Linked DNA regions of Alligator mississippiensis. The protein of the gene in region 1 purifies or fractionates together with the protein of each later gene. This does not show direct contact. Links are inferred from orthologs where the notes say so. Each region holds a gene or a part of one and is shown in the gene's direction. Other genes may lie near its edges.

Evidence for each region.
Region 2: the proteins of SF3A2 (region 1) and SNRPA1 purify together in Homo sapiens (affinity purification with mass spectrometry; 8 studies listed by BioGRID and IntAct, counting the BioPlex papers as one, with this or other methods). This does not show direct contact. The link is inferred for Alligator mississippiensis from reciprocal best matches to the Homo sapiens genes SF3A2 and SNRPA1.
Region 3: the proteins of SF3A2 (region 1) and DNAJC8 purify together in Homo sapiens (affinity purification with mass spectrometry; 3 studies listed by BioGRID and IntAct, with this or other methods). This does not show direct contact. The link is inferred for Alligator mississippiensis from reciprocal best matches to the Homo sapiens genes SF3A2 and DNAJC8.
Region 4: the proteins of SF3A2 (region 1) and CDC5L purify together in Homo sapiens (affinity purification with mass spectrometry; 3 studies listed by BioGRID and IntAct, with this or other methods). This does not show direct contact. The link is inferred for Alligator mississippiensis from reciprocal best matches to the Homo sapiens genes SF3A2 and CDC5L.

The regions. Positions count from the first base shown.
Region 1 is NC_081839.1:7,019,657-7,026,864, reverse strand, and holds the start of SF3A2 (splicing factor 3A subunit 2), read left to right. Parts: upstream 1-4,192; 5' UTR 4,193-4,256; intron 4,257-4,278; exon of another isoform or gene 4,279-4,342; intron 4,343-4,567; 5' UTR 4,568-4,621; coding exon 4,622-4,747; intron 4,748-5,530; coding exon 5,531-5,602; intron 5,603-7,208. Other genes in the region: PLEKHJ1 (pleckstrin homology domain-containing family J member 1), read right to left, coding at 128-194, 3,295-3,362, 3,957-4,050. UniProt on the Homo sapiens protein: Component of the 17S U2 SnRNP complex of the spliceosome, a large ribonucleoprotein complex that removes introns from transcribed pre-mRNAs.
Region 2 is NC_081834.1:6,848,433-6,855,473, forward strand, and holds the start of SNRPA1 (U2 small nuclear ribonucleoprotein A'), read left to right. Parts: upstream 1-4,028; 5' UTR 4,029-4,108; coding exon 4,109-4,190; intron 4,191-4,314; coding exon 4,315-4,462; intron 4,463-4,981; coding exon 4,982-5,060; intron 5,061-6,815; coding exon 6,816-6,862; intron 6,863-7,041. UniProt on the Homo sapiens protein: Involved in pre-mRNA splicing as component of the spliceosome. Associated with sn-RNP U2, where it contributes to the binding of stem loop IV of U2 snRNA.
Region 3 is NC_081829.1:9,952,478-9,959,771, forward strand, and holds the start of DNAJC8 (dnaJ homolog subfamily C member 8), read left to right. Parts: upstream 1-4,276; 5' UTR 4,277-4,315; coding exon 4,316-4,384; intron 4,385-6,424; coding exon 6,425-6,526; intron 6,527-7,294. UniProt on the Homo sapiens protein: Suppresses polyglutamine (polyQ) aggregation of ATXN3 in neuronal cells.
Region 4 is NC_081824.1:11,837,166-11,845,151, forward strand, and holds the start of CDC5L (cell division cycle 5-like protein), read left to right. Parts: upstream 1-4,967; 5' UTR 4,968-5,089; coding exon 5,090-5,134; intron 5,135-7,586; coding exon 7,587-7,690; intron 7,691-7,986. Other genes in the region: zinc finger protein 107, read left to right, coding at 1-1,125.

The DNA.
Region 1 (7,208 bases):
TCTTTACATGTTGCCTTTCTTCCACCAGCGGATGGACAGGGTCTATGATGGAGACTACAATGGTGCATACCACATTGGGACCGACCGCTACAGAGAAACTGAATGGGAATCTGCATCCCAAACTCACTGATTGAAAAGACGTTCACCTCTTCTTTGGCAATTCTGCAGTGCTCCAGCAGCAAAGCTCCAATTGGCTAGAAAAAGACCCAAAAAGAAGGTTTAACATACCTTTCCCCATTGTCAACTCCCTAACACACAATGGACACTACAAAGAGTATGTGGGAGACATCAACCAACTCATACGACAGAAAGAAGACAACACAAACTAGGATTTCTAAGGTGGTTTAGGGCATTTATGCTACTTAGATACTCGCAGGGATTTTGATGGTGTCTATTTTCACCATTTACCCCTGACATGGTTTCTATGCACAGAATTTTCATAATAATGAAAAAATATATTTTTAGAGATAGGAGAAAGCAACTGTAAAACCAAAGACATCATCAGATGTCCTTTAGATTAGGCATCTAACCTGAAACTGCTTTTAGTTCATTTATTTTACACCTAATGGAGGGTTTCTGCAGATACCCAATTTCTCTGTTTCTGCAATCAAACTTCATTATACTGTAAGAACATAAGAACTGCCAAGTACTCGGTCAGACCATAGGTCCATCTTGCCCAGTCTCCTGTGTCACACACTGGCCAAGAGTGGATGCTGAGAGGGAGAGTGAAGTGGGTTTTTCCCACTGTTCCTCTCTCACTTGCAGCCTCCAGCATTTAAGGTCTAGGAAGTTCTAATTCAAAGGCTGTCCCCCTAACTCCTGTGTTCAGTAGCTACTGATGCCCCTTCCCTCCAAGAATCTGTTCAATCCATTTGAATCTGACTAAACTGTCAGCTTCCACAACATCTGGTAGTGACAAGCTCCAAGCTTTAATAACAAGCTGTGTGAAAAAACTTTGTTTTGTTAGTTTCAAACTTACTACCTACTAGTTTCATTTTGTGACTCCTAGTTCTTGTACTGAGAGAGAGTAAATAATAAATCCCTACCTACTTTCCCTTTGCCGTTTAGTATTTTGGAAACCTTTACCATGTCCCTAGTCAAGCATCTCTTTTCTAAAACGAACAGGCCTAGACTCTGCAGTCTCTCCTCATATGGAAGCCTCTCCATACCACAAATCATCCTTGTTGTCTCTGTACCTTCTCTAATTCTTCTATATCCTTTTTCAGGTGTGAGGACAAAGAACTGGGCACAGCATTCGAGGTGTGGATGCACAATGGATTTATGAAGGGGTGTAACGATACTTTCAGTTTTGATCAAGTTTGTCTCCTCCCTGACTAAAGTTTGCACAAGGCATTAGCTGCTCTTTGCTCAGTGTCATTAAAGGGATTTTATATAAATATCAGTGGCAAGTGTAAAAGCTTATTTTTTTGTTCTACAAAATCAAATCTGACAGGCAAGTGTGGTCAGGACAATGTGAGCTCCAATTCACTTTTTTTAAAGAAAAGTGCATCAGTACATTAAAATAAACCTGCATAAACACACAAAGGTTCCGCTGTTGTGTCTAGAGCCCAAATACTGGTGCAGTACGCTAGAGAAGTAGAGCGTGAAAATATGCACAAGCAAGAAATAGAATTATTATTTTTTCTATCTGCATTTTACTCAGGTTAGAAAAAGACAGCAAATGGAAAATTTTAAAACTAAAATATAATTTGTAACATGGCAAAGAGCAGCCTTTGAGCAAACACTACCCTTTAATTCAAAATGTTTGCTGGTTTATTTGTGTGTTCTCCATCCATCTGTAGTAACATACAGAAATGTTAAAGATATCTAAAATGATTTGCTCAAGGCCATGTGTCAAGTCAGTGTCAGAGCCATAAGCAGGACACAGGAGCCCCATCTCCCATTCCCCTGCTCTAACCCCTTCTGCTTGCAAAGGGAGGAATAGTAACAAAATGTGAATAACTATGTGATTTCCTATTAAACTTAGTCTTGCATATATAACCAATGATGTACTTAAGAAAAATGACCAGGACTTCAGATTATGAAAGGACTCCCAATTCTACTGATAGGGAAGGAGATTAAAATAGCCTTCCCTCTCAGTTTCCATAAACTAACTGATTTCCAACATGTAAACACTAAAGTCCCCAAGTCTCCGTGACAGTGAAATATATTTAAGACACGGGTGTCAAATTCATTTGCTCCCTTGGGCTGGATCCAGACGAAAGGGCTTCTCAGAGGCCAGATTCACAGGTTCATAGATTGTCAGGGGCTGGAAGGGACCTCACAGATCATTGGGTCCAACCTGCTCACACTCTAGGCAGTAAAAGAACTGGGGTCAAGTGACCCCAGCGAGGTGACTGTCTAGTCTCCTCTTGAAAACCTCCAGGATAGGTGACTGCACACCTCTGGAGGGAGTTTACTCCACAGTCTGGACACCCTGACGGAGAAGAATTTTTTCCTGGTATTAAGCCTGAAGCAGCCTTCCAGGAGTTTGTATCTATTGGTCCTGGTCTTTCCTGAGGGTGCCCCGGTGAACGGTTGTTCACCGAGCTCCTCATGCACTCCTCCGACATAGCGGTAAGCTGCTACCAAGTCCCCTCTCTACCTTCTCTTCTTTAAGCTAAAGAGGCCCAGGTCCCTCAGCCTTTCCTCATATGCCTTGCCCCGCAAGTCCCTGATCATACTGGCGGCTCTTCTCTGGACCCTCTCTAGTTTCTCCACGTCCTTATTGAAGTGCGGCGCCCAGAACCGGACGCAGTACTCCAGCTGCGGTCTCACCAGTGCTGAGCACAGCGAGACTCCCACTTCCTTAGCTTTACACGAGATGCATCGGTTGATGCGTGCCAGCATGACATTTGCCCCGCTGACCACCGCCTCGCGCTGACGGCTCATGGTCATGCGATGGTCAGTCATTACCCCTAGGTCCCTTTCGGTGCAAGTCAAGCTGCCACCATTGTCACCACGACCCATCTCTGGCAGCGGGGCACGTGGTGACAGTGTTAAACCCCCACTGCGCTCCCCACCACCGAGTTTCTGGCTCCACAGACTGCATAACCCACCTCTGCAGGCTGGATGCCACCCATGCGCCAAACATTTGACATTCCTGATTTGCCCTTGGACCAGGACACCTAAAATATGTTGGCCAAGGTTAGACGGCACAGCAGTTGCTTTTTGTGGCCTAAATATTTTCACTGTGTTTGTCAAATGCTACAAAGGGTTTTACAACCAGGGCTACAGCAGGTCTGTCACCCCACCACGCTGAACACGACCTGCAGCACCAAACGTTTCCTGTACCTCCGCCTCATCGGTTCGGAAGTAGAAGAGAAAGTTGACGACCAGCTTCACGAGGCGTTTCTTCAGCACTGGAGAGAAAAAAAAAAAGAGAGAGAAAGACCGTTCAGAAGCTGGTTTGTGGGATGAAGAGCAGGAGCCATCTTGTCAACACGAGGGGCGTTTCATAGATTTTAGGGTCGGATCGGACCCATTACATCATCGAGTCCGACCCCTGCCCCGGGCAGGAAAGAGCGCTGGGGTCAGACGACCCCGGGCAGGCGCGGGCGGAGGCACAGTCCACGCGTGGCAGGACAAGGAACAGGCCCCTCCGGCCGCCTCCACTTCACAGACCAAATGGATTTGTTCGTCCCTTCCCACACGTCAGGGACCTTCCAGCGTGACCCGATCTCACAGGACCCCGCGGCGGCGCCGGTCCGTGGCAGAGGACTCAGGGGACCGTCTTGTAACTGCCCCGCAAGAGGCTCTCCAAGCCCGTCCCCACCTCCCAAACCCCCTCGCGGCCAGGGGAAGGGGACACCAGCTCCCCACGCCTGCTTCCAGCCTGGCTCGCCCGCGCCCCCCGACCACCGCTGCCAGGGGCCGGCAACGGCCCAGGATGTGGCCTCGCCCCTCCCCCTAACTGCCCCGCCCCCCAACTGCCCTGCCCCTCGCGCGCCCCTCACCGCTGCCTTTCTTGGGCAGGCGCATGAGGATCTCAGCCGCCTTCTCGGCGGGCTGCCGCGACAGCGACAGCAGCTCCCGCTCGCTGTAGCGCATGGCGGCCCCGACCCGGCCCGGCCCCGCCGGCCGCCGCCAACGCGGAAGCAGCTGCGCGCCCGGCGCGCGCCCAACCCCGCCCCGCCCCCTGCCCCGGAAGCCCTTGCTCTGGCGCGACCCGGATGCGCTCGGCGGCCGGAAGCAGCCTGGTCCTCCTCCTTCCGGCGCGGGGGCGCATGCGCAGTGCCGAGACGCGGCCTGTGAGGGTGAGTATTGCCCGGGTGCTGTGCGGGGGGAGTTTCGCTGCGAGGCTGCCACACGGGGCCGGAGGGAGCGGAGAGCGGAGCAGTAGGTCAGGCGGGGGGCAGGGGAAGGGCGGGGTGTCGGAGGTCCCCCTCGCGGGCAGCCCTGTCGCGGGTCACTGTCGCCTGCGCCCGCTTGGGTGCTGCGCCCTTCGGTGTCACGAGCGCGAAGGGACGAAATCCCAGTTTCTAGCTTTGCTGCTCGTCCCCATCGATTAACTAACTCGCAGCTCGCGTATCTCACACTCACGTCCTCTTTTCATTGCTTTTTCTAGGGTTCTTTTTTTTCTTTTCCTTCTCAATAATTTGAAGCCCCAGAGACCAAAATCATGGATTTTCAGCATCGACCTGGAGGTAAAACCGGGAGCGGAGGCGTCGCCTCGGCCTCGGAGAGTAACCGGGACCGCAGGGAGAGGCTCCGGCAGTTGGCGTTGGAGACGATCGACATCAACAAGGTGCGTTTTGGTCTCGTGGTATATTTGGGGGACGTGGGTCTGTGGGATTTTAGCGCCGAGGTACGCTGCGGTGCAATGCGAACGTGCGCTGTCCGAAGTCGAGTCGATTGGCGCGTGTCAGTAGCCAGAGGGAAGGGAATATGTCGCTTCTCCAAGTCCAGCCTGGGCCGGTGCAGGCCGTGTCTAGTAAATCACTGGCAAGAGGATGTGGCTGACCTAGAAGTTAGAGGTAAATGAGCAAAACATAGCAGTTTTACTATTAAGCGTATTGGAGGGACCTTAGTTATGGCCCTGCCCTGCCAGCTGTTATGTACATCTGGTTTTACACACCCGTTCTCAGACGGTGCTCCACCTGCGTGAAGCCACTCGCAGAATTAAGGTTTTAGTTGAGAATTGTGGATAGGAATGAAATCTTCTTGAATTAAGATCCCCTCGTGAAGAGACGCTGTCAAACACTGAATTGAGAGACACTGTCATTGGATCACGTACGTGCTTGTGTCTGTCTCGACTGCAGGCTTCTCAGTATTGGGTCCTATGTTGCAATTTTCTTGCGCAGCAGTGTTAATATTGTTGGCAGTGAAAAATAACTGTTTCCTCCCTCTTTTCTGTAAGTCCTTTCAGATGGAAAATTATCCTCAAGATTTAAAGCAAGAAGCTAAGATCCCTCTTTCCATGCCACGGCGATTGTACATCATATACTTTTGAGAGTTCAATATAATGCAGACAGGCTACGGATACTTGCGTGTGATTTCTAATTTCTGTGACTCTCTTTTTATTTCTTAGGATCCCTATTTTATGAAAAATCACTTGGGCTCTTATGAATGCAAACTCTGCTTGACGCTGCACAACAATGAGGTGAGTTGAGCATTTGGTTTCTTATGAAAAATGAGAACAGACAGTATTGAAGTGTTGTTGATTTAGGCTCTGGAGGGCTTGTTTCCAAGTCCCTGAGAGCTTCTCAAAGAAGCTTCTCAACCGCAAGAGAAGGTTGAGAGGCGACCTTGTGGCTGCCTACAAGTTCATCACGGGGGCACAGAAGGGAATTGGTGAGGATTTATTCACCAAGGCGCCCCCGGGGGTTACAAGAAACAATGGCCACAAGCTAGCAGAGAGCAGATTTAGACTGGACATTAGGAAGAACTTCTTCACAGTTCGAGTGGCCAAGGTCTGGAACGGGCTCCCAAGGGAGGTGGTGCTCTCCCCTACCCTGGGGGTCTTCAAGAGGAGGTTAGATGAGCATCTAGCTGGGGTCATCTAGACCCAGCACTCTTTCCTGCCTATGCAGGGGGTCGGACTTGATCTATTGAGGTCCCTTCCGACCCTAACGTCTATGAATCTGTGTAGAGGTTGGTCACTGATGGCGGGGGAGTGCATCTGTGTGTACATTGCACAAGTTGCCATTCATTACCAAAGCGTTAATACAGTATGTTGGTTACTCCTTGGGTATATCCACATGCTATATCTTTTTTACACTGCTTAAAACTGTCTGTCAGTGTCTCTGGTTAGTTTGGGCTCTGCAGAGTAGTTCTGCTTAAAGAACTTTCTTTTGCATTAATCTGGATACCCTTGATTTTAGGGCTGTTCTTGAAGAGAGTTTTTTCTTGGCTAAGTAATATCATTCATTAGGCTTGAGCCTCTTTCTTTAGTTCTTCAGTCTACTTTGCTGTCAAGCTTAATAAACATAAGATTGAGTGATCTTCAGATTTAACCCTTAGGAAATGGGCTAACTTCCAAAGAGATGATGCCAGTAAACTGTCTGTATATTGTTTTTGAATGTTTGGGTGGCTAAAACCTGTCCCTGTATTTGGCTGTGTAGAATCAGGCACTTGGACTGAATGGTAAAAAAAAATATTTAAATGTATTTGATTGATGTGCTTGTAGTCCACCATAGTATTCACTAGCTCTGCTGTGAATTAGCAGATTGCTGAGAAATAAGATAAATGAACTGTCATATTATTGAATTTTTATTAATTTAAATGCTTGCAAACTAAAGTATGATTAACTTTATGCAGCTAGAGAAGGACTTTGGAAAAGTAACATAAGTATGTGCATTGGAGCAGGTCTTGGACAGTGGTCAGCAACATTTTTTCTGGCAGAGGGTTGGAATGATCCAGCTCAGGTCAGAAGCAGGCTGGTGCTAGAACCTGCCACTGCTCCTCCCTGCTGCCTGGCTGTGGCACAGCGTGGGCAAAGCCCCCCAGAGTGGGTGAAACCCTCTGGCTCCATGGGCCATAGGTTGCTGACCCTTGGTCTAGGACTCCGTGCCATTCCTGTCAGATCCTACATAGCTCCTTAGTCAGTTGCCAGTTCCCAAAATAACCAAACATAGGAGTGAAAAAGGGGGAGAACTACAACAGGGGAGTGGGTTTTGGGTGAGGAGGAACATGGGGTAAAGGAAGTGATTAGAGGTTGAGCATTGTGTTGGTGGAAAGTGGTGGATGAAGCCCTGAAAATGCAAATA
Region 2 (7,041 bases), on another chromosome or scaffold:
CGGGAGGTTGTATGGACAGTTGGCAAAAGGTTGCTGCAGAGAAAGGGGTGTGCGAGCTCTAAAAGACCTGTCACGATGAGCCAGAGGGCTAAGATTTACTTCTGTGCAAAGGAGAGTAGGATGCTGACCCTCTTCGCCGAGGCAGGCCTCCCGCCCTGCTTCCCTTCCGTATTGCACAGCCAGGTGTAGCACAGCCCAGCTCATCCTGCACTGTGACCACACTGCCTAATCCTCACCTGTAAAATATCCCTATGACACCAACCCTGGGTCATCATCGCTCTAGTGGGCAGCACTGTTTGCTTTCACTACGGCTGTCCTAGCCCCATCCCACATGGCTTCCCACACCTCAGTTCCAGCTTGCAGCTACTAGCTCAGCCCAACACTCCCATTCATTCCTGAGCCGAGTCACGGGCATATAAGGGGCTTGAGCGAGTGAACTAAATTCCTGTGACTGGGATTTAACCTCTGGCCCCCAAAGCTGAAGGGCCAGTGATTGCTGTTTCTCCAACAGCTCTTACTGGGCACACCAGAATAACCTTGATTTCACCACACAGATTGTGTGGCTGAGAGGTCACTGGTACCACCTAACAGCTTTCAGAGCTAGCTAATTAGAAAGTCACATTTTTGCACAGCAAATCAATCTTCCTTCGGGCTCTGTACAGAACTGCTGTGTGCACAGATCCATTGTCATATGTACTTGTGGAAATAAAAGAAATGTGAAACGTGATCCAGCAAGGCTCAGTTGATGTGCTTATACCTGCTGCCTGCGCCCAGCTGGAGACAGCAGAAACTTGTTACAGCTCCGTGTTTATGATGGTGTCTGGTGCAAAGAGCAGAGAATGGTTATTGTGGGTTTGCATTTTCACCAGCACTTTGTCTGGGGATACAACTGAATCTGCAGTTCGCTGAACCTGAGTCTTTGCTTACACCTGCACAAAGCAAGCATCAGGCTCCAGTCTGGCTGGGCACCCAGGTGGGAGGGCCAAAGATGCCTAATTGTGGTTGGCATCTGATGAAGTCAGCCCTCTGCTTACCCAAGCGCATGCTATATGTCTCTGACTGAGTTAGTTTAAAAGGCACAAAGCTACCCAGGCTTCTGCCCAACAGGGCTAGCTGCATCTCTAATTCTGGAGTGCCACCGTGTGGAGCTCAGCTCAGTGGTAAGTCAGTTTACAAAGACACCAGTGTCTGGAACAGAGGGCGTTAGGCTTCAATGCTGCTCGTCAGAAACCTCTTACCCTTCACTGGATCCCAGGCAAGACCTCATGTCAAAATGGGGTTTCTTGAAGACTTTTTTGGACTTGTAAAGCAACTCCCACACAGGAATCCCCAAAACAGTTGGGAAAAATGAAGACCTGACAAAGAACGACTTGCATGTGAAAGTCTGTCTAACTTTATCCCAACTATAGAGTTGGTCCAATAAAAGAGGTCACCCTAAGAAATCCTTGCCTCTCATGAAAAATGAATGACTTCTCAATATCTGTGGAGGGTAATGCTCATATTGTATTATGCATGTGAAAAACCGAGAAGCCTGGGATGGCTGGTGCAAGGTTGATGTGAAGCAAGGGGTGTGATAGTTGTAGAAAGCCTGTCACAATAAGCCAGACTTTCTAAGACCTATGGCCATACCTTTTCTTGAGTTTCAGTGCCTAAGTTTGCAGGTGCTCAAGGCTGAAATACTCAGGATTTATTCTATTCATTACAGGTTTTTATAAAGTAGAATCTGAGCCCCTTACAGTAGGGCATCAAAGCAGTGAAACTAACATTCATCACATGGTTGCTCATCTTCCCATCCTTGCTTCAGGGGAAGAGCAGTGCACTAGGGAACTTTGTTTTGTTCTTAAAAATGTCACATTGCCTTGTGTTCACATCAGACAGGGCAAGGTCAAAGACACTTGGAGCATGAAGTACTGAAGTGTGTGCTTGCCCTTAGGCATCCATTCCTCAACCCACGGAGCCAGCATCCTGCATTTTAGGAGAATTGGCAACACTTTTCAGCACCTGCCACCCAAGCTCAAGTCATCAAGAGCTGCAGAAGCTCAGCACCTCTGACTGCCAGCCCTGCAGTTTCACAAGTTGGGCAAACAATCCTAATAGTCATTGATGACTGAGCAGCGCATAACCCAGCAAAGTGCATCCAAGCAGTCTTAAGCAAAGCCAGGAATAGAACTGCGACCATCTCAGCCTAGTCCTCTGCTTTGGCCCCAGGCAGCACTTGCACTCCTCTGAACTAGCGCACAGTGTCGATGCAGTGGTCATCAGCCTTTTCTGCATGTTTTAATGTGTTATCTTCAAAGGCCTATCTCATCTCACAGGCAACGCCTGCAGTCGAAAAGGAGACGCAGCATAATAAAGTTGGTCTAATACAAGATAGCACATCTACTCAAGGAACTTTGCCTGCCAGCATAATACACACACTCAAGGATTTGCATCTGGGGTGTCTGGGATCTGGCTGGCACATTGGGCCTTCAAAGAGACCACTAACAAAATGAAAGGCTCGGTGCAGCAGCAGCCCTTTGATCCAGCCACTGCCTCCTTTCTTCCTTCCAGCTTTGCTCCTGATGGCAGGGACAGGTCTACTCCTTTACACCAGTTCCCCCTGGTGGTGAGCGAGGGTGGCCATCACAGAGGATATTCCGGTTTTCTGCTACTCTGTCCTCTATTGATACGAAACCCGACGCCTTCATATCCTCTATTTTTTTCTTCACCATATGGGGTGGCTTCCTTTTTGGGTCACCCCACACCATGTCTTCCCACACCACGTCTCCGTGGCTTGCTTTCTGTACAGTGTATTTTATTTTTCTCTTCAAGAGAGAAATAGAGGACATAAAGGCTCCGGGTTTCGTATCAATAAAGGACAGAAGACAACTGGACTGTCATCTAGGATGCCCACCCTACGGCGAGCTGCCGGATCTGCTTGCCAGAGGCATCTTCGAGCTCGGGGCGGTGTTCGCAACGCAGCCGAGCATCGAGGATTTCTTCACGGAGCAATTCGTGCTTTACAAATCCTGTCTTGAAAACACTCCCTTTCATCCGATTGCTCTGATGCCTGATGAAGGGCGCTTGTGCCTGAAAGCTTGCAACGAAACAGATTTTTGCAAAAAAAAAAAAAAAAAAAAATTTGGTGGCCTCTACCACCCGCCCCGATCCCTTTTTCCTCTAGACCAATACAGCAAAAATCTTGTTGGTCTCATAAAAGATATCACCTCTACCACGTGCCCCGAACGCTTTTTCCTCTAGACCAATACGGCTACAACCTGGAAGACGGAAGAGACTGAATTTTAGCCAGTTTTTTAAATGACATCTTCCTATTTCCCCACGCAGGGAGCAACGGTGACCGGCTGAAACCCGAGGTCCTGCTCCCGCCTGGGTCCAGAGCCATTTGCACCATCACAGGCCCGCAAAGGAGGAGAGAGGCTCCTGGCCAGCTCAGACCTGCTGCCCCGGGCAGCTTTCACCCCCCGCTGTGAAATCCCAGGAGACAGGAGCTTGCATTTCTGCGCAGGCCTTGTGCCATCTTTCCCCCGGTGTCCGATGAAGGGCGCTTGTGCCCCAAAGCTTGCAATTAGGGGTTTTTTTTGGTGTGTGTGCAAATATCTTGTTGGTCTGAGAAAGAAGATTGCCTCCACCCAGGCCCTGCCTGCCTCCCTGCAGTGCTGGGCTGTCTGCAAAGTGAGGGTGAGGGGCAGCGGGGTGGAGGAGGCGCAGGGACGGGGCTGAGCACCACCCCTGCCCTCAGTGTCCCTGCTCCCACACTGGCCGCCACGACGGCGCTGTGCCACCCTCAGGGCACCGCGCTCGGCGCTCGACTACTCGCCCTGCGGCAGCTTGAGGCGCTCAGCTCCTCGGGCGCTCGGCTCTCGGCTCCTCGCCCTGCGGCGGTTCGAGGCGCTCGGCTACTCAAGGGGCGCTCGGCGCTCGGCTCCTCGCCCTGCGGCGGTTCGAGGCGCTCGGCTACTCAAGGGGCGCTCAGCGCTCGGCTCCTCGCACTGCGGCGGTTCGAGGCGTTGGGCGCTGCGCCGCGCCCGGACGTGACGTAAGGCGAGGCGGCGCAGACCGGAGCGGCGGGAGCGGAGCGGAGCGGTGCGGCGTGGTTGGCGGCGGCAGGATGGTGAAGCTGACGGCCGAGCTGATCGAGCAGGCGGCGCAGTACACCAACGCCGTGCGCGACCGCGAGCTCGACCTGCGCGGTGAGCGCCCCCGGCGCGGCACGGCACGAGGGCCTGTGGGGGAGGGGCAGCCCTGGTGGGGGGAGGGGTGGATGGAGGGGGGTGGGGCTGCAGTGCCCTGTGCTGACCCCCCGCCCGCCCGCAGGGTACAAGATCCCGGTGATCGAGAACCTGGGCGCGACCCTGGACCAGTTTGATGCCATCGACTTCTCGGACAACGAGATCCGCAAGCTGGACGGGTTCCCGCTGCTCAAGAGGCTGAAGACGCTGCTCATGAACAACAACCGCATCTGGTGGGCTGGCGCCGCACGGCATCGGTCCCGGGCTCGTCCCGGGCGTGCGTTGGTTGCCCCCCTGGGGGCGGGGGTGGAGTCGCAGACGGGCTCCGAGCGGGGCTCGCAGGTTGTGACTGCCCCGGCACGTAGACCTCCAGCGCCCGGCCTTCACTTATCCTTGCTTCATGGGCACGGCAGCTGAAGCCGGAGGCCGGGACGTGCCCGAGCCGCCTGCGCGGGGCTGTCGCTGGCCGTGGCTGTGCTGCGTAACAGCAAGCGTAAATGGGAGACGGGCCAGGACATGGGAGACGGTGGGCCGGCCGGCCGGCGCGGGAGCTGCTCTGTCGCTGGAGATAAAGATCATAACAGAGCCCAGGCGCTCCGCTCCCCGCACCCTCGACCCCCGTGAATCTGGGGGGCGTCTGATGATTCAAATGCGTGGCGGCAGATTGCAGTTTTTTCCCAGGACTCTTACTGAAATTTTCTTGAGCATAAAATAAGCTTTGGTTTTTCTTTTCTTTAATATATTTATTGTAGTCGGATTGGTGAAGGGCTCGAACAGGCCATGCCCAACCTTCAGGAGCTCGTTCTGACGAACAATAACATTGCAGAGCTGGTAAGTCTTCCGTTACAAATATTTAGGGCTAAGTTTAAGTTACGCGTGTGTCGTTTGTTTTTTCTCATGCTCGCTCACGCTCTCTCTATTTCTCTCTCTCTCGTATGTGTGTGTGTGTGTGTGTGTGTGTGTGTGTATGTATAGATATCTATATATGTGGGGGGGGGTGTGTGTATGTATAGATATCTATATATGTGGGGGGGGTGTGTATGTATAGATATCTATATATGTGGGGGGGGGGTGTATGTATAGATATCTATATATATATATGGGGTGGGGGGGGTGTGTGTATGTATAGATATATAGATATCTATATATGTGGGGGGGGGGTGTGTGTGTGTATAGATATCTATATATATATATGGGGTGTGGGTGTGTGTGTGTGTATAGATATATAGATATCTATATATATGGGGGTGTGTGTGTGTGTGTATAGATATGTATACACACACATCTATCTATCTATCCAGATAGATAGATATTGATATAGATATACACACACACACAGAGCTATATAGATAGAGATATATCTATATATGTGTGTGTATCTATATATCTATATATCTGTATAGCGACACGTATGTATATGCAAAGAGAGATAGATATTAGATGACCTTTTGAAGTTAAAACCATTGTGTTAGTCTCCATGTGTACACTAGGACAGCTGTTCTTACAAGGGTAATCTTTCTGCCGTACAATGAAGCAGGAGATGTTTTTGAGATTCATTGTTTTTTTCACATAAAAATGTTACAAGGTGATAGTATGTAAATAGATCGAATATCTCATTTAGCTAAGGATGTCCAGCACTGTTCCCAGGACTGGGGCATTAGCATTTGCCTTCAGATACTGGATAGTGTAACGGAAAATGTGCAGCTCAGTTAAAGAAAAAAACCTTACATTTTCTCTAATATTCTAGTTTGATTAGACTTGAATGAGCTAACTAGTAAAATGGTCATGGGATTTTAGTAAATGTGGATGAGGAGGTTTCACAAAAGTCATTTTAATGCTTTGGTGTTTTTGGTCTGTTCATTTCACAATCTTGTGAATTAAACGGACCCAGAACTATTTAATTTTAAACTTTTTTTGTTTTCTGTTCATTTGCACACCAAAGTAGAGATTAGGAAAAAGTATTGAAAAATTCCTACCTCTTGAATTTTGTATTCTTCATCAATGAGTAATAGTGTTAGTACGTTACCACTCAAGGCTTTTTTTTTTTCTTGGCTATGTCTGTATAACTCCTCTGAAGTCAGTGCAATTGCACTGGCATAAATTAGAACATAATTTAGTCTTTGGTATGGAACTCAAAGCATATTGAAATGCTTGATGGCATGCTTAATACTCGCTTACTTGGTTCTCCATCAGCTATTTGTAGCTTAAACCTGAAACTTGCTTATTGCTTACTGCTGTTTCTGTTACCTTGAATGAATATTATCTGTAAGGTCTGTCTCTAGTGAAGATTTTGGTAGTATGATTATGTGAACCACTGCAAAGTATTTGTCATCATTTTATAAAAACATTGACAGGATATTGCTTGTAGAAAGGTAAGGCATTTGTTGAATATTTTTTAACGGACATGATTTGGAGGTGTGGGGGTGCATGTGTGTTTGGTGTGGGGTTTTTTGGGCCTAGCACCATACTAGGTATAATTTGTATTTGACCAGTGATTTGGATGTCATTGACAATACTGTAGACTTGAATCGGCTTCTTTTAGTTTTGGACTGCTCTGAAATAACTCATTGCATTACCATTTTTCAGGGTGAGCTGGATCCACTGGCAACTGTTAAATCACTGACTTACCTGAGGTATGAAATCTTAATTTGTTTGAATAGATTTTTTTATATCATGTTGTATATTTCCTTATGGTTAACGACAGCTTTAAATTGGTTAAAGATGCATAAATTTTGATGAGTGAGCTCTCAAATTGCCAAAAGGCTATCAAACGAAATAGAAATGAGCTGTTACATTTGCATTGAGTGCTATG
Region 3 (7,294 bases), on another chromosome or scaffold:
TATTGATGTGGTGTGTTTGAAGCCTAGCTCAGCTGGGTAGCAGGCCAGTACACATATCTGTTCTGAAAAAAATCCATCCAGCACCGATTACAAGTCCACCTTGAGAAGCACCAGCATCTCCAAGTCCTTAAACCAACACAGCTACAACCAAAAACACACAAAATCAATGCTGTATCTGAATCAGAAGCCTCAATCTGAGTTTGAGCAGAGCCAGGACAGGCTGAAGAAACACAGGTGCACAGACATGACCTACAAGCACCTCAATGAGATGGCCTGAATTCTCAGCTGCTGGGGTTATCCCAGTGGTTCCTCTGGCCCCAGCTACTAATTGTCCTCACCTCACCCTGCTGCCACAGCCCCTGCTGCTGCTGCCTTCTGTTGGGCCACACGTACCAGGCATCCCCACCATGCCCAGAGCTGGAGGAGGGCACAGAGTTCAAATCCTCCCACAATAAATTGCACAAGGACTTAAGCGAGTACTCCTATGCCGAGCTGCCTCATCAAAGTAGACTGCCTCCTTTCACCACCCCACCACTGAAGGGGAAGGTTTTACAGATGTCAATCTGAAGACCAGTATCCCCCCAAGTCAGGCATCCCCAAATATGCAAACTTGCTTTGAAAATTTAACCTTGGATAAGATGATGGAAAAATTCCTGCAAAGTGCAGATACAGAAGAGAAGTTTTACAAATATGATCAATGGCTGAAAACTGAAAACAAATGCTGTGAAACAGCTTGCTCAAAAGCTCCAGGTGATACAAATATTGGGGCAGACACTGGCAGGAACTTGTTTTAAAGTATCACAGAAGTCACAGTCTGTACCTGCCAGTCCACCTCAGAAAGCAAATCACTGCTAATATGGCTATAACTTTAAATAGAATGACACGACAGCATCACTTTCTCCACCAGTAGGGTATAGAATGACCTTTTCATTACACAAAACATGGTCCCTAAAGGAGATGAAGAACATTTTTCCATTGATAACCAATGTCATTCTTCCTTTAGCATAGGAATGTCAAACTCATTTGGCCCTTAGTCTGGATCTGGATTGCAGGGCTCCAGACCCACTTTTGGCAGTAGGACAGGGCAGATAGTGGCAACATAAATGGCATCAGGTAGCCATGGGGGTTAATGCAGCTGCTGCTTGCTGACCTTCACAGAAATACATACCCAAGAATTTGGCAGCAGGCCATGCTCCTAAATTCCTGGCCTCTACAGGAGCCCTGCAGGCCATATGTTTAACACACCTATTCTATCAGAAAAAAGCAGACAGGTCAAGGTGGCTGAATAGGAATCAGTGGAGGATGTGAGGAGTACACAGGAGCATGATATTTTAATGCAGGGGTGTCAGACTCACCCAGGGCCTCAGGCTGGATCTAGACTGTTGGGCTCCTTGCAGTCGGGAACCAGCCTGAGACACGAGGGTGGCTAATGCAGCTGCAGCAGCAGTTGCAAGTCTGGCAGTGGTGGCCGCTCTGCATGTGGCAGCATCTGGTCTGTAGTGCAGACTGGGAGTGCTGTTGCAGTGAGCCAAGCTGACCACTGACAGCCAAGGTGGTGAGGCGAAAGGACCATGAATTTGGTGGCAGACCATGTCCCCCAACTTCTGGTGGCCCAGTGGTAGCCTGGTGTGCCAGGCAGAGAGGCTCAGCTGGCCATATCTGGCCCATGGGCTGTATGTTTAACACCTCTGTTTTAATGCAATTCCAGTTCTCAAAGCAGGTATTGATTTTGCCCAGCCCCTCCTGGTTGCTGCTCCAGATAGAGGATGACAACATACTACTGCCATTGGTTACTGAATACAAGTAGCAAAAATCTTTATAGTGCATCTCTGTGGTTCCCATCTTTGCTCCATTAATTGTTTCCCTAAGGGGGACAGTAACGGTCCTTTATCAGTCTGAGTTGACATTCAAGTCAGTAGGCATTAGGAAGTAGGATGCCTGCTGGGAACTGAAAGCCACATTATAGATAAGTTGCCAAGAATCCTCTGGCTTTCTGACTAGTGGGCATAAATGATACCACTACTCATCCATCTGAGCAGGCCAAAAGGAGCAGCAGGGCTGCGAAACGGAGGGTGAAGGAACTGGGCTTGAAGAGATGTTCTTTTCACTTCTTCCAGTCAAGGCCAGAAGTGAAGACAGACAGATGCCTCCTGTGGGTGAATGCACAGCTGTGCAAATGGCTTTACTGACATGGCTTTAGCTTTCCTGACCATGGGGTGATCTTAAAGACTGTTGTATCAAGATGAAGAAGGGGTGGGAGGTGTTGGTCTCAGACTTGCTTATCTAGTTCAATGGAAACTGGTGACAAACCTACAAATAAATATAAACCCAAGGCCTAAGAACCAGAAATCATATGCACAATCATAAGCATCAAGAAGGCAACTGGTGTGAAACTTAGATCGTCTATTTAGAAACCCCATCAGGGAGTCCTGGACACCCCTCCCCACTTTTTGCTGTGTGGGTGTGTCACTATATTCCTCCTCCCACATGCTCTGATCCCAGAAGCAGTTCAGTCTGAATCAGAGATTAGTGTGTGTGGAAAGCAGGTTGAGAGACAGTTTCAAGGGAGATGAGACGCACACATCCGAGTTGAGCTGTATAGGTCAATGATTGCACCCAATGCTATTAAGGTGACTCTAGGTTAAGAAAAATGGTCACAGGTCATAACTCTGATCCCTACTCAAGTTGGCCAAGTTATCTCAGAGGAATGGGTGGGAATATGGAAATATGAACCTGAACCGAACAAAACTTTCCCACACAAAGGCAGAGGGGTGAGAGCCAGAAAGTGCCTTGAGCCGTAAGGACAGATTCAGAGGACCTTGAGACCTGGCCACCCGGTAGTGAGTAGGTCTATATCTCCTCTGCTGGATATTGCTGCTTTTGGAGATGTTGCCTGGTTGCTAAGATCCCCATAAACCTGCGTCTGGTTCAGAGGAACTTGCTTTGGCTTGTCTTGTGCTTCTCCAGATGAAATAAAAGCCCCTAGCACTGGCAATGTGTAGGGGGTGCATGTGCACCCCCTGAGAAAAGCAGTGTTGGCGGCACCTGCAGAGTCACTGCTCGCCACCCCACCACTGCCGGTGTCTGTGGGCGGTCCGTGATTGCCGCTGGCTGCTGCTGATGTTGCTGGCAGCATCTGGAGGTGGTCGCCGACCACTGGTCAGCGCTTGCCACCCTGCCACCGCCAGCACTGCAGCTGCCTGCGGGAGCGCCCCACTTGCCGCTGCCACGCTCCTGCTGCTGACAGCACCACAGGGGCATGTGACGTTCATGGCCCCAGAGCTTCTCAGCCTCTGGTGGGCTCAGATCAAGCGTAGTCCTATGGTTACCTGCCAAGGTGACCCCTGAAGCGGTTTCCTAGTCACACCTGGGGAAGACCACTCTCCTGGCATGGGGATAGCACCCGCCAAGGTCACATGCAGTAAAACTTCCCACTTAGCTGCTGGAGTGGGACGGTCTTGGCTTTACACCCACTTTTAAGGACTCCTCCCTAGCTTGCTCCTGGGGCCTACAGCTAAAGGCAAGCGAAACTCGGGGGCATCCAAACCCCAAGCCTCCAGGCTCCGGCCTGCACATACGATGCCCACCAAAGGATTTGGAAACATCTGAAACCCCAGATGGGGGTGGAGGATGTTTGCCAGTAGTAGGCCACTTATGGTGCTGGACTGTCTCACGGATTTGGAATTTGATTTGGCCATTGATTTAAAGATTCATAGATCATTCGGGGCAGGAAGGGACCTTGCAAGATCATCAGGTCCAGCCCCCCCCCCGCACTAGGCAGGAAAGGCAACGGGGGTCAGGTGACCCCAGCAAGGCGACCAGCCAGTTTCCTCTGTCAGGGTTTGCCGCTCTTTACCCCCTAAACTAACAGTCTCGCTGGCAGAAGTTTATAACAGAACTTGGCTCCAGCAGAGGTGTGGCTCGTGCTCACCGACGAGCTCTCTGAATGAAACGGTGAAAGCGTCCTGTCCCTGGTGAGACCCTGCGTCCGCCAGGGCTTTGCCAAGGTGCCTTTGTCAACCAGGTTTGGAACAAAATATAATAAATAAATGAAATTAAAATAAATAAATAACAAATAAAAGCCCCGAGGTCTGACTGCGTGGGACAGATCACACGAGCCACGTGGCCCCACGACTGCTCTGGCTGGTGTTAACCCGGGTAAGCCCCGGGGCAGGGCGGGAAAAGCAACGAAAGCGGGAAAAGCAGCGGCCGGGGGCGGGGCTCTGTGACGCTCGTCACGTGACGCGCCGCCGGGGCGGGGCGGGGCCCGGTGGGGGTCACGTGGGGAGGGCGCCCGCATCACGTGGTGCGAGCAATGGCGGCTCCGGCGGAGCGCGGGGCGGGGGTCGCCGCCGAGGACGCGTTTCTCACCTTCTACACCGAGGTAGCGGCGCGGCGCGGGGCCGGGAAGGCGGCGGGGCCGGGCCGTGCGCTGGGAGCGGCCCTGAGCGAGCTCCGCGCCTTCCCCTGCTGCTCCGGCCCGGGCCCGGGGCTCCTCCGTGCCTGCCGGGGGCTGGGGTCGGCGGGCCTGGCAGGCCCGTGCTGCAACCCCCGCTCCTGACAGCAGCAGGGTTTTGGGGGGGATGCAGAAACGCCCCACCGCGGGTTGGTGCCATGGTGGCGGCGGGGACCAGCCGCCGTGCGGGGCGGACTCGAGAGGCCTGCTTGGCTCGGAAGAGCGGCCCCCGATAAGGATTTACGAAATGGCGAGCGGCTAGAGACGTATTATCGACTCTCCCGAGACGAGAACTAGGGGTCCGAATAGGCGGTGAGGTAGTTTTTGTCGCGCGGCGTCTATCACGCAGGCGTGGAGCGCGTTGCCACCAGATGTGGCAGCTGACGGCTCAGCCGGGTTCCCGGAGGAGCAGACGCAGCCTTGGAGGAAAGGGGCTTCGGTGGCTGCTGAGCCCGGGAACGAGGGGCCCGGCCTCTGAACAGACCTTCCCTGGACCTCGGATTCTGGAATCTGCGATAGTTCAGACAGTAGCTGCCACGGCAAGGGGCTGTACATGTGTACACTGTGACGTGGCTTAAGCTGATTTAGTTAAGTCGCCTTATTTTAAGTCGCTTTAGTATGTGCGCACACCCTAGGTGAGTGAGAGAGGAGCAGTGGGGAAAAGCCCTGGTCAGACCCAGCTCCTGTTCAGCATCTACGGTCTTGCCACAGCTTGACAGGAGCCTGGGCAAGATGGTCCTGACCTCACAGTAACCTAGACAGTTTCAGAGGCGGGATGTTTTTCCTCCTTTATCTTAAGGTGGCTCTTTCCACCCCTATCCCACTGCGTGTTGCAAGTAGGTGCGGTTCACATGCAGCATTTTAAGCCACAACATACAGCCATAATTGTACTTTTCATATGGCTCGTCTCTCCTACCATAACCTAGATAGGAGTCTCGTGCGCTGAAAGAGATTTCGTGCGTGACCCTGTAAGCACTGTGTGTCGAGCTTGTTGTTCCACTCCTGCTTAGCCGAGTCTTGGAAATCTGTCATCCCACTAATGCTTAAGGGAGTTTTCTTCCCGATTCTTTTATGTGACTGTTGCACCTTTTCAGCAGTCAGTTAGGCCAACAGAAGCATGTAGTGGAATGATTACTTCGGGTTAGCTTAATCCTGCAGGGAATGAAAGTCAGCTAAACTGAAAATCACTCAACCCAAAATATGTGTCCAGGAGCTTGCAGCAATTCTACTAAATCCGTTTAAAATATCCCTGTTAAACCTGCATAGGTCTGTAAGGACCTAAAGCCTGAGAGAGTTTATGCAGATTAGAGAGTGCAGAAGGCAGTACTGGTGGGACACCCAAGAATAGGGTGCACTGTGGAGGATGGCACCTCTCCTTAATGGGAAGCTGCAGACAGAAGCAAAAGCAGTTTCTGAACTCGTACAGCGGAAAGGCAACAGGGAGGGTAAATAGAGCAGTGCTGTATAGCAGTGGTTCTCAACCTTTTTTGTACCAGGATCCATTTGTAGCCATCGATGGACAGTCCCAACCCAGTGCCTCTCACTCTGAACCCCTGCCCCAGGCCTCAGCCCCTACAGTGTGGGGTGTGGGGCATGGAGGGGGCCCCAAGCAGCCCCTGGCAGGCTGGAACTCTGCCAGCCTGCCAGGGAAAATCCACGGTTTCCCACTATTTTTTCTACTTTAAAGGAGAATCCATTTTTAAAGTTTGTTCATGACCCTTCCATATATTCTTACAACCCACTTTTGGGTCATGACCCGCAGGTTGAGAAATGCTGTTGTACAACATCACAGTGTAAAAGGTTGACAAATGATTCTAGCTAATTCTTATATAAGGAAATGTCCCCACTGAATTGATGGCTACAGGCCTGAGTTGGGGTCAGGTGTCTCTTCCTCCTCTCAGCAAAGCTCCCATGGTCACTACAAAAGGGTATAATTCATTATGCTGTAATAACTGTCCCTCTCTCCAGGTGAAGCAGATCGAAAAGCGAGACTCTGTTTTAACATCAAAAAACCAGATTGATAGGCTGACCCGTCCTGGATCCTCTTATTTCAACCTCAACCCTTTTGAAGTAAGTCTGAGCACTCTTCCTCTTCTCTGACTTTCTCCTACTCAAGGAGCTTCCTATGTCTGTTGGCTATCTACTTGCTGTTGAAAAATTCATTCGGTGTAGGCCCTGATTGCAAGGGCAAGGATGTGTCATGTTCCTTGCACTCTCAGTGGGAGGTAGGCCTCTTAGTAGATTTCACTTATATTCTGGCACTGACAGACTTGACAGATTTGCCTCTAATTTTAACAGAATATTGCTTTTGTCACTATTTACTGCTTGTGCATTTTATTTTGGATATCTGAAATAAAAGCAAGGCTCAGTAGTCAGTTTTACCTTAGCATGAAGTTACATAATTTGCAAAGAAGTAAATGCATTCAAGTCTCCTTACATGTGATGTTTTAAATGATAGCTGTCTGATGTATACATAGGTGAGAGTCCTGTTCTGATCTAATGCACCATGTGCATGCTGTGTAACAAAGTCTCGAAAGAGAATTGTACTCGCAATGCAAACGTTAGCCTGGTTTTTCTTCTTAGCCAGCCCTTCTTAGGACCTCTCTTTCACCTTCTAGTTTTCTCTGGCCTCAGCTTCTCAGCCTTTTATGTTCTGAGAAGCAAAAGAGGCCTCCTTGCACTGTTTGCCAGGGTGATCTGCAGAATAGTCCTGTGGAAAGTCCTAACACTTGATTGGAAAGTAGATCAATTGCTCAGAAAGCTGCATGAAACCTTATAAGTACATTGGGTTTGTTCTTTGGAGTTGTTGATTTTGTGCCCATCGTAACAGTGTTGATG
Region 4 (7,986 bases), on another chromosome or scaffold:
AGCAATCTGTCTATTGTAGACAATGGATCAGAAAATCTTCCTAATACTTACCAGCATGATTTTGTGTTGCCGCAGTTGTCTCAAGAGGTCACTCCTTCACAAGTTCCAGGACGTAATGAAATTGTTACAAATTATGAGCCTCTGGAAAGTGTTACGCCTAATGCCACAAGGTCACCCAGTAGGACTTCTTTCAAACTGTTCAGGTGTCAGCACTGTGATTATGCCACTTACATGTATAGCAACCTTAAGCTGCATTTGAGGACACACACTGGTGAAAAACCATTTGAGTGTAATGAATGCAGCAAGATGTTTCGGACCTCTAGCCATTTGCGGAGACATAGCTACATGCACTTACAGGAATGTCGTAAATATGATGATTCTTACCTGTATTTAGGGAACAGTTCAAAACGTATTAAAAAGCAGTGTAAAACTCAGGGCACAACTCTAAGAAGAAATGATCTTAGTTCTGTGGAAGACTTGGAGCGTGTCCATTCCATGTTCAGCCCAGAAAGCTTTGAGAAACCGATGGATCTTTACAGGGGCAAAGAAAGCAAAAATGCTCTGCCATCACAAAGTCAAGCCCAATACTACAAGTGTGCAGAATGCAATTACACGACATACATTTTAAGTAACCTTAAGCTCCACGTCATGATTCACACAGGTGAAAAACCCCACGCCTGTGATATTTGTGAGAAGAAGTTTCGTACCACAAGTCACCTAAATCGACACAAGCTCCTGCATTTCAACACGGAGCTCTTCAAATGTAAAACCTGTGACTATTCAACAGACAAATGGCAAACCCTCAAGCAGCATCTGGTTACACATATAGATGGTACCAAGCTCCAAGAGCAATCACCATTGTCTGTCAAAACCTACAGGTGTCAAGAGTGTGGCTATGCCACTGCTCACAGTGGAAACCTGAAGCAACACTTGCGAATTCATACAGGTGAAAGGCCGTACACGTGCAACCAGTGTGCTCTTGCTTTCCGCACATCGAGCCACCTCAAGCGCCACTTGCTGACTCATTTGAAGTTACACTGCAATTCCTGTGAGTTTTCCACTAGGGATAAATATGCTTTGAAGAAGCACATAAAAGTGCACAAGGATAAACCTGCAGATACCTGAAGTTCAATATAATGCTTTCCATCCTCAGTTTTGTATAGAACCATCAATCAGCAGTGTTTGAAGACTAGACAGTAAAATAGGATTCATTAAAATTTGGGGTTATAAGCTCCAGGAAGTTCACAGTATTTCAAACATGTTCTTTGCCCTGCATCCACTATGCCAACTGTCATCAATTTTAAAGTTGCCATGGTAAAAATTGTGGAAGCATCCATGGGATCTGGGCTATAGTACACTGAATGGAAATTAAGGGATTATGCATAAAGCGGGCGTAAAACACATGTACATTTTCAATTTAAGTTCCATCATGTGCTGTGTTAAAAAGACTCAAAGCTGTTAAAAGCCCAATGTAGTTTAAGAAAAGGGTGAAAATCTAGGCCAGGGTTGGTATAGGAAAGAGTTGTTCTGTAAGTGCCTACCTGATTGATAAACACACTTTTGCACCACCTACCATTGCCTTGTGAGCAAGGATGTGAGGTGCTATTTGAGTTCCTGTACTTATTTTCAGTACAGGCCCCACCTTTATAGTAGGCTGATCTTTTCTGTACCACATGATTGAGATGTGCAGACAAAACATATTTAAGTGAAATAATTTTTAATCCAATTCTTTCTAGCACATCAGCAACTTGCAAACTAAAAATTGCAGAGTTGTGTGAAAAATTAGTTGAAAATGGATCCCTCCTCCCATTTGCTGTATGTTGCAATCCCTGTTCTGGGGGTTTTCTATACCAGTGTCCAGAGGACGGACTTAAGAAAATAACTTATGGAACCAGGTCATTGCAATCACCAATTTAGAGATGTACAATGCGGGTTAAAGGGTACGTGTAAACGCATTCCAGTCAATAGACTACTAGCCACTGATCCACGTTGACATCTTGCCTTTTCAGTCTTGGAGAGGAGAAATGAAAGACTTTCCAGAGTCACCCTCCACTGCTTTTTTGAATGTGGCAACATTCCCAGTTGAGAACCACTGTTGTTGCTGGCTCAGCTTACCTCAGTGCTTGTCAACCGGCTGTTGCTGCCTCCAGATAAAACTGCCCTACTTACCTGCTGCACAGCCAGACTGGGAATGGCCGTGGCACTTGTGTGTGATCCTCCTGTGTAGGGCTCTCTCATTAACCTAAAGCAGGCAGGAGCTACCTCCTCCTATAGCCCTTCCCAGTCTGGCAGTCCCGGGAACAGTTACACCTGTGCGCCTCTTTCTCATGCCTCTGTTTCCAGGTCGAGTGGGAACGGGGACAGACTGGGAAGACCTACAGCCTGAGCCAGCTCCTGCCTGCTTTAGGGTTATCAGGGAACTCTAATGCAAGAGTACAATGTGTGGCATCGCAGCGCTCCTGCGGGTGTCTCGTAGCACTCTGGTTGAGAATTGCTGATGTGAATGCATCTTTTGATGCTTATTTACTTTTCAGGCAGCCTGACAGAAATAATCGTCTATATTTTGCATGCCACCGTTTTAGTGGCCTAATTTTGTGAGATGCTGAGCATCCTCAAAACTCATTTCTGGATAAATACCAAACTTGTTTGCAACCAAAAAAGTTGGAAGTGCAAGTTACAAAGCGTGGTTGGCTCCAGCCGAGCCCACCACTTTTATCCTAGTTATTGTGCAGCCCAGTCCAGAAAATCTTCTCCAGGGTCATAAACATTTCATAGAAAAAGTATGGGTCTTTTAATTTTTTCTTATTATTTTAGCTAATAGTTATTTAAAGGAGACTTTTCTTAGCACTGCTTGTTTCCCATGTACCTTGTTTTTTACTAAAATTCATAACCCATGAAGAGTTTTGTTTATGTAGGATTTTATATCAAATAAAGTAAATTATTTTAGAAGAGGTGACTAAGTTGATTCCTGCATCTGTTATAAACGTGGACTGCTGTTTCTGAAAAATACACTTAAGTTCATGTTCTGCATTGCTGCCCATATCATTTGAAAAACTCTCTGCTACCCATATGGAAAAGATAAATAATGGAAACGTGCTGCATCTCTATTCATCAGTTTGTATAGAATTGTGTTCAGATAATGTACATGGTTTTGATGTACATTTCCACTATTAAAGTCTTAAATGTGTTAAAATAACCTTAGCTCAAAAGTTGGTAAAATGCAGTGTTAGCCATTGAAGTATTTACAGCTTTGCCTTTATAAACAGATTAATATGGCTTCTTCAAAATGCAATGAATACTGTAATAATTGTAAGATTTTAATAACCATTGTAAAGCAGTATCTTGGAATACCCTGAAATTTTTCAAAATGCTTCTGTGCTGCAGTGATCACAAACTGATTTCAAGCTACTTCATTTTATCAGGGGTTTTTTTAACTGTCCCTCTAAAACTGAGTGTACAAAGGCTGCTCAGCAAAGCAGTGGCTATTTCATTTCCTAATAGAAATACAGCTTGAGGGACCAACCACTGGGCCCTTTACTCTGGATACAATAGTAGACATTAGTAGACAATAGTAGATACAATAGTAGACATTATTTGCATGTCCAGGATGTGCAGTGGCAAGATTGCTTAAGCAGGGGCTGAACCAGGGGATTTCTAATGGCAGGGGTTGCTTAGGGTGGCTTACTTGATGCGATTATCCCAACAGAGGTAGAAATGGGGCGAAAGTAATACTAAGAATCCCCTAATCTGCTCCCCTCCTTACTGCTACACGTGTCAGGATGTGTTTAAGCCTCTCTAAGGCATTGGGTGTTGGCTACAGGGAAGGCTGAGGATTTTGGCTGGGATGTGCTAATGTTTCTGCTGAGACCAAAGCCAGAAGTTCCTGGTCTTGCCCCTCTGCTCAGGGTCAGACCAGTGGTCATATTTGAGGTCAGGAAGGAATTTTACCCCAAGGTCAGATTGGTATAGACTGAGAGGGACGGAGGGATTGCCGTTCTCTAGCAGGGGATGTGGCTCTCCCTGGGATGTCTTGAGCAAATGTTAACAACCTTTTATTAAAGGACATTGGCCCAATGTCCCAAATTGCATTCTTGCACCTCTGGCAAGTTAGGGTGTTACATCTTGTGTCACATCAGGATTGACAGTAATTGTACTAAGTTTATTTAGATGACGGCTTTGCGCAGGAAGCTTTGGATAGGGACGATCCTGCCTCAGGCAGGGGATTGGACTAGGTGACGTCCGGAGGTCCCTTCCAGCCCCGCTTCTCTAGGACTTCCACAAAATGATCTTGCATAGAAAAGGTACGTTGCAAACAAGGATGTCAGCGCGGGCGAAGCGAACATTCCCGACCAGCACCCGCACGTTTCTCGTGGATCAGAACAGACCCGTTGTCTTGCAACGGTGTAGGTTGTAGCCGTGGTGATCTAAGGATGTAAGCAGATGAGGTTTTTTCGGGGGGGTAAATCTGATACCAGATTTCCCCAAAGACCCTTGTCTTGCAAACACGCTTTTTAAGATGGGTTTCCACAGCAGGCAGACGGGGCATTCAGTGGGGGCGGGTTTCAGACGCAGGATCTTCATCTCGGGCAAGCTCCTTGACCGCTCCCACGACCCCAGCAAGGAGCCAGAAATACTGCCCCTGGTCTGCAGTAGCCCTACAGTTGCCAGGCCTCCAAACCCACACGCACTGGTGCCAGTGCAGGGGCAGCTGTATGGCGCGGGCCCTGGGGCTTGCACTTGTGCGAGGGTTTCAAGGGAGCCTCGCCAGCGAGCACAAGCACCTGCGGGGCAGAGCACGGACACACGTGGCCCTTCAGCGATCCCCGCGCCAACATCACCTCCGCGCGCCAGGGGGCGCTAGATTCGCTCCGCGCCTCAGCCCCTCTCCCCGCCTTCTGCGCCCGCGCATGCGCGAACGGTGGCCGACATTCTCCGCTGCGCATGCGCAGAGCTCTGACACTCGGTTGCCCTCACTGAGCCTGCGCAGAATCCTATCCCGGCCTGCGCACAGGCGGCGGCGGCGGCGGCGTCTCTCCCCCGTCCGCCCCGGTTTTCTCCGCTGCGAAGCCCGCTCCACTTCGCCGCCAAGATGCCGCGGATTATGATTAAAGGCGGGGTGTGGAGGAACACCGAGGTAGGCCCTTCCCGTACCCTCCCGATTCCCACGGGGCCAGTCAACGGACGGCGCTTCTACACGAGAGCGCATGCGCCGAAAAGGGCCCGGGAGTCCTGCGCATGCACTTATAGGGGGAGGAGGCTGGGAGACGTGCGCATGCGCTTTGTGTGTTTGTACTGGGCTGCTTTCCTTCCTTGTGGCCAAACGCAGCTCAGGTCTCTTGGGCTCACGTGGGAGATTAAGGGATTCTTAGTCCCGCTTTGAGTTTTTGTTTTTAACTTCTCAGTCTCCCTCCTTTGGGGTGGTGGTATATGGAGTAAGAAGCTGCAAAGCAGCCCTCTGCAAAGAGAAGTCCTCTGGTTCAGCTCCTGCCTAAGCAGCCTTCGTGCTGCTTATTTTGGGGCAAAGCACAAATAATCTCTCATCTTCAGGGATCCTCCCCCCACCCCCAAGACGGGCATAGAGCAGGGCTGGGCAATTACTTTGGGCAGAGGGCTGCTTACTGAGTTCTGGCAAGCCATCGAGGGCCGCATGACAGGCAGCCAGAGGCAGATTAATATTAATTTTCTAAATTATTTAGGGCCGCCACGGGTCAGATAGAATGTCCTGGCGGGCCGCATCCTGCCCACCCCTGGCATAGAGGCTTGGAGATCTCATCACTGGATGATTGACATGAAGCAAATGATTTGTCACGATAAAAAACCGCTGTGACTGTTTCACTGTCACAGAGTTAATTGCACCCATGGGCCGCCCCCTCCCCCCCCCCCCCCCCCCGCTACACATGACCCTTAAGACACAATTGACCAGGGAATCGTGTCTGAAGTGGTGACCCGGCCACATGCTTCATAAATTACTGGTGTGGTAAAAGGAGGAATAAGTCATAAAATTTATTTTATAAAATATGTGCCGTTGCTTCGTGGCTTGTTCTTATCGCACCATTAGTTGAACATGTGGCCACCCCTGTGACGGGGCTCAGCTGTGCACCATGCACGCTGCAAGCCCTGCAGCTGCTGGAGTTGCAGTCATGGCAGTGTCCCACGCATTGTCACAGCTGTGAGCCCCGTCAGCTGCAGGGGTCACTGCCACAGGAGCTTGCCACTTGTCAGTGCAGGAGAAGTTGGGCATCGTGATTTCAGGGTCCCCCCGCATAAGCAGTAAGGCATGATTGGATCTGATGTTGAATGCCACAATCATGCTTCCTGCCATGTATGTCTGGTGTGGCAGGAGGCATGATAGTATGGATCATGCATCAGATCCCATCACACCTTTATCTCAATATCTAGAAGGGCCCTGTGTTACCAACTGCCAGCAAAGAAATAAAAACTACCAAGAAAAGGGAATCTGAGGCTTATGAAAGTAAATACGTAGAGCATGTTTCATATTAAATACTTAATATTCTCCTGAAATACCCTGCACCAAAACTCATCAGCCTCCCGTTAAAGCCAGAGCGCACTTTGGAAGGGCTTTTCGGTGTTAGGAAAATTTACCTGCGATCGGCACCATTAGCTGCTGAACTGGTGCTGAATATATGTTGACCCCAGCTGTCTGTTGTCAACAGTGGATGCCCTTCCATTTTGCCCCACCATATCCTTAGTCAAAGCTGTAGCAAATAGCGATGGAGCACTTCATAGACTGCACTTTTTATGGCCCCCTTGTGTGCTTTTGGCTGCACAAAATAAGACTTCTGGTTTCCACTCAATTATTTAGGAAAGCATTGTCTTCTGCCCCCAGGAAAGTCTCAAAAGGGGTAACAAGCTTTTCAGCTTTTGAGCATTTGAAAGCTCGTCTAACTTTATCCCAACTATTCAGCTGTCCAGTAAAAGGAATCACCCCCAAAAAATCTTTGCCTCTCCCATAGCTTACTAAATCACTTATAGGAGAACAAAAGTTTACTGTAGGCCTAAGGGGCAAATATAAGCATGTAAACCACTAGCTCTACTAGTACAGACCTGGTGCAGGCAAGCTGGGATAAGTTTGTGTAATTTGTGTTGCATCCCTGAAGCTTCTAGTTTTGCTCTGCATTTGTACAGCATCTAGCATGGTGGAGTTCTGACCCATGACTTGAACTGTCAGGTACTACAGTCCTGAAAAATAAAGACACCATCATCTTGAAATAAAGACTGCTTTAAAAAAGTAGTCAGTTTTAGCTGTATACCTGCCCTGATTTTCATGATATTTACACGGGTGTGCATTTTTTAAAAATAGGATGTTCTTGCTCCTTGAAAGACCCACACAAACAATGGAAATTAACCATACAGGAGAAATGGTGAGACTGACTGTTCCCCAAATGCTGTTGTATACTCAGAATAAATGACTGTCACTATTTTCACTTCATTAATCACATCTACCTTCAGGTGTTAACCCTTGCTGAAGCCTTGTCTACATTTCCCTGTTGAGTTGCAAGTGAGCATTTGGCTCTGATAAAGTTTACTACTGACCCATAGTAATAACAACTATTTCTCTTTTTAAGGATGAAATTCTTAAAGCAGCTGTAATGAAATATGGCAAAAACCAGTGGTCTCGGATTGCTTCTTTGTTGCATAGAAAGTCAGCAAAACAGTGCAAAGCCAGATGGTAAGTGGAGAAGACAAAAGCCATTACTGGCATTCAAAGACAAAGATCATTCATTAATGAATTTAAAAGGTCACTGTTGAGTTTCCTATTGGTTCAGGTCTAGCGGAAGAAGAAATAGTTTCAAAATTTTTAATTGGTTACGTTTCCTGAAGGTATTGCAAGGACTTATTCTTTAAAAGGACTATGAGCAAAAGTAGAAAACTATTCAAATTGCAGATGATAGCAATAACTGCACAGTATGCAAATAACTTGTTTAAAAATGCAAATTATTGGACTAAATCAAATTGTTTTTTGAG